Linked DNA regions of Saccharomyces cerevisiae S288C. The protein of the gene in region 1 purifies or fractionates together with the protein of each later gene. This does not show direct contact. Each region holds a gene or a part of one and is shown on either strand. Other genes may lie near its edges.

Region 1 (3,760 bases):
GAGCCAAAGCTTTGGTAATATGACCAATGTTTTGAACACCACCATCAGCCATACATGGAATACCGAATTGGTTAGCAAATTCACACACGTTGTAGACGGCTGTACCTTGTGGTCTACCACAGGCCATAACTTCTTGAGTGATACAAATAGAGCCTGAACCCATACCAATTCTTAAACCATCGGCACCGGCAGCAATCAAGTTAGCAGCTTGTTCTCTGGTGGCAACGTTACCAGCAATGATTTCCAAATCTGGGAAAGTTTCTTTAATCCATTTGATCATGTTCAATTGGAAAATAGAGTTACCTTGAGAGGAATCTAAGATAACAACATCCAAACCTGCTTCGACTAATAGTCTTAACCTTTCCTTATCAGCATCGATAGTACCGATAGCAGCACCACATAACAGTTGCTTGGTGGTGGCAGATTTAGAAGCCAATGGATAGTTCTGATTTTTCATTAAATCAGTTCTGGAAAGCATAGAAACTAAGTTACCATTGTCGTCAACAATCAATAGCTTACCCTTTTTAATCTTCTTTAAAATTTCATTACCTTCAGACAATGTAATACCTTGTGCACCGGTGACAGGGTTTTTGGTCATAACATCTTGAACAAGCAAAGAGTTGTCTTCAACGAACTGAATATCACGAGAAGTGACGATACCCATCAATTTTCCGTTTCTTTTACCATCTTCTGTAACGGGGAAACCGGAAAATCCAAATCTTTCCTTCATACTCTTAGCTTCACCCACAGTAGTAGTTGGGGAAATCACTATAGGGTTGTTAATAAACCCATTTTCATAGTTCTTGACTCTTCTGACCATGTCAGCTTGGTCCTCTGGGGTACAGTTGTGGTGAATAAAACCGATACCACCCAACAAAGCCATGAAGATGGCCATTTCTGATTCTGTCACGGTGTCCATTGGAGAGGAAACGAATGGGGTGTTCAAAGTGATATTCCTTGTCAACTTAGTTTGTAGGCTAACTTCAGAAGATGGGAAATCAACCAGACCTGGCAAAACCAAAAAGTCGTTATAAGTCAACCCACCTCTGGTCTTGGAGTCCATCAACTCCTGGACAGACAAACCATCTAGTCTTGGTAAGCTCTTGGCGAATTCCAAGGCAGTCTTGTAGTCTCTAACGGCGGCCATTGCTTTTACTACTTTCGGAGTTATTAATTGCACTGATAATATTTACTGCTGTTAACCTGTCGATGACTTCTTTTCCTTAGAATAAAAGTGAGACAGATGAGATGACGTGCTTTTCTGCGAGTTTAGAAAGTCTTTCTAAGTTAAGTTATATAGAAGCAAGAAAGAAAAGAAATAGAGTAAAAAAGAGAAAGTTCCCAGTACACTAGGTGAAAATGCACAAGCCCACGAAACTGGAGTAAACCTCCAAGGGTCCCAACACTCAAAAATCTTGTTGGATCTCGGAAGGGCAAATTATTCAACTATTTATACCTTTCTATTTCTTCTTTTTTTTTTTTTTTTTTTCAGTGAAAAATTTTTCATTTTTCGGAAAAAGAAACGTGTGCGGCTTTGAAGGCTAATATTTATGTAATTAACCAGAGTTAGAAATGAACACAATAGTGGTTAAAGAAGCCACTGGGTCACTGGAAAAAAGTACATCTTGTTAGCCATCAAGTAACAGGTTTATGTATTGGGAATTATGGTTTTTCAAGTTCCCTTGTCTCTTTTTTCCCGATATCCTAGCCCTAGGACAACTTGTAGGGTATCAGCGCATATGTTCAAAAAATTTAAGGGCGTAAGCTCTGGCGTTTAGGTGCGCAATTAACAAAAGGTATAGATAGTCTTTTTATAGTGTAAATCATATACAAATAATAGAACACAGAGAACGTCTGTATATATCTATTGGAGAACCGGCTAAGGAATGGAAAAGTGAAGGATAGAGTACGTTTTAGTTCAAGTGATTATTTTCGTTTTCTTGTTCCACATTTTAACCTCGTTGTTCTATAAGGTAACAAAATAAAGTGAAGAAGTAAATATGGAACTGAATCAGGTTTTAGAAAAAAAGGAGCAGATTCTGCAATACTTAGGCACTCTGGTCGGGCTTCACGAAAAAGCGTTGTCTGATGTAAATTCGGCTTCCCAGGTGACAAGCATCCGGAAGGATATCACTATTTGCTTAAACGATCTATGCAGAATTAATGATCTCTTAGTATCCCATGATGGTCTATTGAAAAGAGAAATTGGGTCCTTACTTCGAGACAAACAAGAGCTACTAGAACTGAACGAAAGAGAGCAGCTTCTTTGGAAAGAGCGGAAGTCGTGGCATATTAAGCAAGAAACCGATGCTGCGCCGGCGGACTATGTTATCGATAAGGACGCCATAATTACCATTTCATCGCACCACCGGACATCACTAAACAAATATATCGAGTCAGTGGGGGCAGAAAATACAATACTATCCAATACGGATGATTCGGATGCAATGATCGAGGAAGTACAGAACGCTGAATCTTCTGCGGATCAAATGATACGTAATTACAAACTGTTACAATTATCTCATAAGCAAGCTAAATCAGAAATAATAAGGCTGGAAACTTTATTAAGAGACTTCAAAAAGGACAATAAATTCATTGAAGAGGAGTTAAAAAGGCAATCTGGACGGATACGTTCCGAAATGGGTAATATTGATTTTCATTTGTCCAAGATAGAGGAATCTAAGCATCAATTAATGAAAAGAATAGGATTCGAGTCGCCCCTGACACAGGAAAAATCACTATCAGAAAAGATATTCAATTTAAGGCTGTCCAGCGCGGATGAAGATTACAATGAGAGACAAACTATCAACATGAAAAATTTTGTTCATATGAAGGATCTCATAGAACTGAAAATTGAAGATCTACAAGAGCAACTAATGAGAAATAAAAATGAGTCTTCTACAGTACTAACGCAACGTGAATTATGGCTAGATTGTCAAAAAAAAGTAGGAGATTTGGAAAGCAAATTAATAACCAAACTTCGGAGCAGCAGCAACTCCAAAATACCTCCAAATGAAATGTCAGAAATGATCAATTCTACAATACAGTACCTAAATAACCTTCTTGACTCTTCTGATGAAAAGCTCACGACAACTTTAATATCAAACGAAAGGGACGTACTTTCGAAAGCTTGTGAAGAACTCCATAGCGAAAGTACCACTGCACAAGATGGGTCAAGCGCACTACCTTCTAAACCAATTGATATACACAAAAGCCATAAAGGGTCGAACGCGAGTTCAAATTTAAAACAGCCCTCGACTCCCTCATTCTTGGTTGCTAGCAAATCGCCACCAAAGATTGGCATTTCTGAAAGTGTAGTAAACGCTAATAAAAATGATGCCATATCAAAAAAAGTTGAATGAAATGCAAATAGCTAGAGTAGCCATGAGGATAATGTAAATTTAAACATTGTATGCCCACGTAATAGTCAAACTCTTTCACGTCAAATTGAAAAAAAATGTTCTTTTTGCTGAAATAATGAAAAATAATGAAAAATAATGTTGCTATTAAATTCAATATAAATGTATACACCAATATATATGCAGGTATAATTCCTAACACTTTTACTTCAAGATCATGATCTAGGCTTTCTTTTTTTTGGGATAAATGGGCTAGATGAAGCATTCCGTCTCGAACTGTTGCGTGTGCCTGTGGGCCCACTACCAGGTCCTTTGAATGCTGAAGATTGTGGTTGCGGATGGGGGTTTAAATCATATGGATCTTCTGCCTCAGCAGGATAGCTGTCTTGCGGATGGGCGGG
Region 2 (3,208 bases), on another chromosome or scaffold:
GGCTTTGAAAATACTTAATCTTGTTTTTTTCGCAACAACTGTTTCATACGTGTTTCATACGTCTTGTACGTTTAGGTTGATGAATCTGGTGATGCAGGGGTATTTCATTTTGAAGTGTAGTAGAGGTCTTCTAATGAAAACTCGGCAGGGCCCTAAGCTCAAACTCTACCTCATCTACGTTGACCCTTTTTACCTTCTAGATGCCATCAGTTGTTAATAGTAGTAATGGAATACGATTTGCCAATCAATCTTACAATCGCATATAATTCGTCACTGTTGAATATCTGCGACGTACACCATCTAATCACTTCGCTTAGTCGATATAACCATTTGTTTGAAAAGATGAATTGATTCTAATCTTGCCTCTCTCGGGTTATGTTATTATTATTTTTACGTTTTGGCACGTGAATCTTCAGTAATTGATTGCACGCTTGATAAACGAAAAAAACATAAACAAATAAGGTAAGACTGCATTGTAAATCCTAGGAATGAGAAAGAACAGAGAAGCTAACTGCAATTATGAATGGTGTCTGTATACAATTAAATACTAATGTTGACGGAGAAAGAGAATAAAAGACAAGAATTAACTAAATATTGAAGAAGAGTAAAATACACAATAGAAAAGAATGACTCCTTTTCCCAACACTTGTAGGAGTGTTCAAACAGTTTCTTCATCAAATACAGTTTCGATGGGTTTTTCCATCAATGATGCATGTCCGAAAACGCTGACGGCAGAAGCACCGATCAACCATAGCAAAGTTGAGATTGGCGAAGCTAAGAAACCTATTGGCACAGCAACACAAACCAGTCCGGTGTATAGTTGGTTGGTCTTGAAAGAACCAAATGGAGTTACGAGCTCCTCACCCTTTAGTTTGTTTATACCAACAATACCAGCTACGACTAGAACAATAACAAAGAGTAGCAACAAGTTTGTTAATAATGTGTAAATGCTCAAACAACCAATAATCAAACCATAGTTACTGGAAAAGTACTTCAGGTTATACGCCACTCTGGATTGAACTTCCCCAAAGTTTTGAGGTTTGGAAATTTTCTTGAAATTGAAAAATTCTTGCGGGGTGCGAAGGGTTGCTAATTTAGATTGCAAGGATTGGAACTCGCTCTTAATATTTTCCATGGAGAAGTTTTGAGTGAAACGTGAAACTTGCTATAGAAATATAGAAAAAAGGTTAACGCGTTAGTATAGTTTTTCAATGATGCAAATGTGTTTACAATTTAGAACTTACGGCTAAAGCTCCTAACTGATTCATTATTGGAGTATTTGATGTTATTTTATGCGTATTTGACGGCTGATAGTTCCAAACTCAGTGTTCAAAGCCCTGCAATATTGAATTCAATCTGAATTCTTTCGATTTGTATTTATATTCGTTGTTATTATTTATTTTTTCTTTTTGCCTCGATTGCATGTGACAAAAGTGCAAAATTCGTATCGCACGACACAGAACTCCGCCACTAATTAGAACCAGAGAAGTAGCAATGAAGGCTCATTAGTAGGTTATATTTAATTGTTTACGTATTCATGTTACGACACGTCCCTTTTCAAAGACCTAAATCTTGTTTCACAAGAGCTTTACAGATTGGATGATACGTGTCCTTGAATTTGTCGAAAGTTGCAAGTGCCAATCGACGGTCTACAGAGTTTAATAGTCTGTAACCGGGACGGACAAACTTCATTCTACCTACAGTTCCCAACCAATCGGCCAAATGCTTATATTCTTCTTGCAGCTTGGCAAAGATCTGAAATTTGAACATCTTGAAAACAACTTCCGCGTTCTGTGATTTAACAATGTTATCTTGATAGATATCTAACAGTGCCCTAGATGCCACGGGAAACTTGGCCCAGTCAAAATCTTTTGGTTTCTTGTTGGAATGGCCATTTTGTGTCAAAGTTTCCAAGAACAAAACCAATTGATTTGAATTAAAATCCTTAATGTCAATAGCGTTAAATTCAGACCGGAAATCCTCTGTGGTTTTCAAATGTTGAGCCATTTCGACCCACTTGTCAGCCAATTGATAAACATTATCAGCCAAAGCCGTAATAAAATGAGGCCTTGGTGGCATACCTGGTTTATACAGCCAAGTTTCCCAGTCAACGGAATCCAAAATTTCTTTCTTTTCGGGATAGAACTCATACAAAGTATCCAAAAACTGGAAAGTATCCAATGATTTTTTGGCAAACTTCTTGAAATAGTGTCTAATAAATGGATCAAATTCAGCCTTACCACCCAAAATAGTTTCCAAGTGAAATAGTAAGTTGAACCCCTTTTCGTACGGAACAGTGGAAAAGGCATCGTCAGGGTCAGTGTTATCGTTCAAGTTTTGTACCAAAGTGGAAAATCTTTCAGGATCTTTCATAGAATCAATAGAATTCTGCAAATCGCTCCAACCAATCAGAGCACTGAAATGTCTAGTTGGTTCGCCATGAATGGCACCAATAATTCTTCTTTCTAAGTAAACGGTCCAACCTTCATTCAACCAAAAATGATTCCACGAACAATTGGTCACTAAGTTACCAGACCATGAGTGAGCAAGTTCATGGGCGATGACATCAATGTTGGATCTGTCATGTGCAATCAAGGTGGGCGTAGCAAAAGTCATATTCGGAGACTCCATACCGCCGTAAGGGTACGAATCGACGTTAACTAAGATATCATAAGTGCCCCACTCGTATTCAAAGATAATTTTCTCTGCAGTTTGAATGAATTTCTCTACATCGTTTTCAAATTCCCATTGACAATCTTTCAAACGAAATGGTTCAGTGTAAACTGTGGAACGAGGTCCAATTGGAGCGCTTGACAAATCACCGGAAGCAATACCGATCAGGTAGGCTGGGATAGGGACTTTCTGTTCAAATCTGTAAATATTAGTATCCTTGCTTGTATCTTCAATCCTGATGCCTGAAAAAACCACTGGTAGTGGGGACTCGATAGATGCAGTGAAAGTAGACTTCACAGAGGGAGTATCAAAGCAGGGGAACAAAGACCTCGCATGAATAGCTTCCAACTGTGAAAACACGTACGGTTTACCGCCCTTGGTTTGCTTGCTGTTCAACCATTGCAAAGCGGTGCACTTGTCAGTCGTACGAAATTGAATATTCAAGGTAAAGTTATCGTTGCAAGAAGCGTTATTGATGACTAACCTGGAGCCCAATGGCTCCTTTCTTTGCTCAATTTGAAAATCTGCCTTGGAA
Region 3 (3,760 bases), on another chromosome or scaffold:
AGAGTTTAATAAGTTGAATATACAAAATAGAATATATAAATGTTTTCAGAACAAGTATATACGCTTAAATGTCTACAAAATACTTAAAACCATATAAATGAACAATATTTTCTTTTAGTCATTGTAAAAGATTTTTTTTTTTGAGGGAGAGGGAAACAGCGGGAAAAGACAACGCTGCAAGCCTCACATGGCGATACTGCCTCTCTGTCTTCTTGCGGATTGCGGATCCACTTCTTTATTCCCTGTTTGTTTCCTTGCTAATAAGTTGATGATGTCTGTCAATGAGACCACACCGATCAACTTACCCGTTCTATATTCCTTTTCGAATAGGTTTGGTGTGTTTGTTGAGGAAGCGGGACTTGGTGGTGGGATCGCGATGGCCGAAGAACGTGGGGATGGTGGGTCTTCCATTGCTGTCATCAACGGAGAGTGGGAGTTGAGGGATGTTGAAGAGGATGACTTTGACATTGGAGTCGCACCATTAGCAGACGATTGAGCGGTGGCAGAAACTGCATTGGCTGCAGTATTAGCAGCTGTTAAATTTGTGGATGACGCCGAGGTTGACGACTCCGGCGGTTGTACGATCCATAGTCTATGAGACTTTGTAGCAACTAACTTGGCAAGAGTCCTTGCTAGTGAACTACTGGGGTATACGTGAAAAATGGGGAAAGAATCTTTACCCGTTTCTAATCCTCTGGAGTTTAAAATGACAGAAATGAAATGGCGACATGTCTTATGTAGTAAGGGGTATTGGGAGGTTCTTGTGACATGTTTTACGTCCGTTACCGATATGTTACCTAGCAAATTACCTTGTTTGTCGATGACTGCAATGGAAGAAATTCTTTCCACATGCATTTTATAAAGGCCCATGATTAAGGGCTCCTCGCCTTGAATAGAGATGACACGGGATTGTCTTGAAGTTGGCTTAGATTGAATATTGAGAACACCGATGTGCAAATCTTGTAATGAGGAGTTTAATAGAGGTTCTAAGCTTGTAAAAGATCTAGCGTTGTCCCAAAGATACTTTATCAAACGACGTTGGGACAAAATACCTTTAACTTTGGTCATCTCTTCGTTTGTTATCGCTACACGATGGACACCCGAACCGAGAATCCCCATCACCGTGGACAAACTCTCATTCTCCGGCAGCTTATAGAACGGATTCTTAGGAGTTAGTTTCACCATTTCGCCCACTGGTACGGGTTTTCCATTCTGGCAATCTGCAGTAAGCTGTTTGTTGCTGACGGTGATTTTATTCAAAACCAGCAAAAGGTACGAATTAAGGTCATTGTAGTCGAAAGTAAAACAGTTCATGTCGCCGGGGAAAGATTCCACGGGAATAGAGTTTAGATGATACTTGATCAAAGTGTTGAATGCCTCCTCTACCGATATGGAACCTGGAACAAAAATAAGCTTATTCTGTTCGATCAATTGCGACAACGGTATGTGTTGCCATTTTTGGGCGTGCACACATGACAGACACTGCGATGGCGTCTGGGTCATAGGAACAGCTGATAGTTTGAATTGAGGCTTTTCATCGCGCAAGGGGGCGGGTGTAGCAGCACAACCTGGACCAGGCGCTGCCGCTGTTGCTGTTGGCGGCGTGGACTCTTCTGGTTGTTCCTTGTCGTCTGTATCGTTCACTTGAACGTGGGGCAGCAATGGCGGAGTAGACAGCATCTCCACAATGGATGCATGTCTAGAAGTTGGAAGGTTGTTGGAAGAATTGCTTTGGCTTGGAGGGAACGTGTTCGAAGTAGAAGCCATGTTGTGTGAAGGAAGAAACGGTAATTGTTCTATAAGTGTTTATAGTTATTATAGTTGGGTTGTGTGCCTGATCTTGCCTGATAAGATAGAAGAAAAGTTGATCTGAACAGGCATTGTTGTTCGTTCTCCAACCCCTATATATGCGAAATATATACAAAATCCCAGTAGATTTTCTCTACACAATAGAAAGGACGCGCCCCTTAAAAGAGGAGGCCCTGTCGCTCAAGACGAGCAGTACTCGCTAAGCAACCGTTCTCTGGGAGGGAACTGCAAGGAACAGTTCTGTTCTTGAAACATGACCTTGAAAAGATCCAGCAGACGTTTTACGTCGATGTTGTGGCAGTGCTGAATGCCGAAGAGGTCTGTGCAGCGTCTGGCCCAATCCATGCGGTACTTGACATCCTTGTCGTCTGGTGCCAGCAGCCTAATTCCTCTTCTCAGCTCACCTAGTTTGACGACAGCGTCCTCCAGCGCCAGATCCCCCATTTGTGTGAATAAGTTACGGATCTCATCTCTTACTAGAGCGCCAAAGCGCGGAGAAAGGCCGTTGGTAGAGATCAGAATCTGTAGACGGTCTCCTATCTCCAGGTTGGCGCCGAAATAAAAGTCACAGAGATCAGGTTTGTCCGCCACATTGACCAGCTGCTGCTTACCGAATCTTTCCTTACAAAGGTGATATATTCTTGCGCTTTCAGGGTGGTCGGGTATACAGGTCATTATTATGTACCACGCGTCGTTCTCGTCTTCTAGGTCGAGGTATTCGTCTTTGAAGTCACTGCGGATGTACTCGTAAATTTCATTCTTCGTGGGGTCCCAGTTCGGATTGATAAAGCGTTTAGCGTCTTCTCTGTAGTCGGGCTGATCCTCGTTCTGGATGAATTTTCCAAACTTCGGAATAATGGATTTGTGTAGGTCAGGAGATACTAAAGTCAGCTTGCAACCTGTAGGTATCAGCTTATATAACCTTGTCAAGCCGACTTCTCCGCCTCCGATTAGTAGTATTTTCTTGTCTTTTAATTGATGGGCTAGCTGTAGCGATTTGACCATTTTTTATCCTATTATACACTCTCTTATTTTGCACACTTCATGAACAATGTATGGCAAAAATGTCTGGCACAGCCTTTTATTGAAGTAAATGTATATATATATATATGTGTGTGTGTGTGTCCATCATTTACATGCTACTGCCCGTAGTCATCGGACTTTGTAGCGATTTTCACATTTTTTTTCCGTCAGCATGGCTATTATAACACGTGAAATTATGACGCCAGCTTTTCGCATATATAGTTAATATAAAACACTTTGAAACGGAACTGTTTGAGTAAATAAATGTACTTAGATAGATAAAAATAGATAGGTAGTATAGAGGAAAAACAAATTTGATTAGAATTATGGATCGACAATTGACTAGGTTGTAACTGAAATGGCATTAATAGAAGAAACGTAAGAACGTAGAGACGCAGATAAAACTGCGGACAAGATTAAAATTTTCTTTTTTTGTCTTTTGTAATCAATGTAGAAGAGAAGGATGAATTGGCGGAACATTGTTCCTATTAGGATGCTTGTTCATGATGCTCGATTTCGAATTATTGGAATTCGGGGCTATATTTAAGGGAGGAGTCATCATCCTGGACACGTCATACATATTTGCACCGTTTCCCATTCCGTATGGTACTGGATTTACGTTCATGTTCATGTTCATGTTAGAATTCATGATCATGTTTGTGTTAGGGTTTGTGTTCATGCTTGAGGCCGTTTTATTGCTGTTGCCATTGGGCAGTTGCATAGAAATTGACATCGCGTTCCCAAATTGAGGTAAGTTATTAGTAGCATTGGAGAATTGGTTGCCCGTCGGATGGAGCGAGTATGAGGGACTTGAATATTGGTGTGGGTACAGTGCACCGTCTTCTTGCATATACGGGACATTAGATCTCTGCAGATTAACGAGGTCGCTATGGCTGCCATTCTTGTTCCTGTGATAATCGTAATTATT

What was found.
Region 2: the proteins of ATG23 (region 1) and YIP3 purify together in Saccharomyces cerevisiae (affinity purification with mass spectrometry, with the first as the bait; one large-scale study listed by BioGRID). This does not show direct contact.
Region 3: the proteins of ATG23 (region 1) and SDS24 purify together in Saccharomyces cerevisiae (affinity purification with mass spectrometry, with the first as the bait; one large-scale study listed by BioGRID). This does not show direct contact.

The regions. Positions count from the first base shown.
Region 1 is NC_001144.5:999,944-1,003,703, reverse strand, and holds ATG23 (Atg23p), read left to right. Parts: upstream 1-2,000; coding exon 2,001-3,362; downstream 3,363-3,760. Other genes in the region: IMP dehydrogenase IMD3, read right to left, coding at 1-1,147; DNA/RNA helicase SEN1, read right to left, coding at 3,575-3,760. UniProt on the Saccharomyces cerevisiae protein: Required for cytoplasm to vacuole transport (Cvt) vesicle formation and efficient autophagy. Plays a role in ATG protein retrieval from the pre-autophagosomal structure (PAS) and is especially required for autophagy-dependent cycling of ATG9.
Region 2 is NC_001146.8:543,328-546,535, reverse strand, and holds YIP3 (Yip3p), read right to left. Parts: upstream 1,269-3,208; coding exon 1,245-1,268; intron 1,166-1,244; coding exon 659-1,165; downstream 1-658. Other genes in the region: LAP2 (bifunctional aminopeptidase/epoxide hydrolase), read right to left, coding at 1,558-3,208.
Region 3 is NC_001134.8:649,422-653,181, reverse strand, and holds SDS24 (Sds24p), read right to left. Parts: upstream 1,768-3,760; coding exon 184-1,767; downstream 1-183. Other genes in the region: bifunctional precorrin-2 dehydrogenase/sirohydrochlorin ferrochelatase MET8, read right to left, coding at 1,990-2,814; NGR1 (Ngr1p), read right to left, coding at 3,278-3,760. UniProt on the Saccharomyces cerevisiae protein: Involved in DNA replication and cell separation during budding.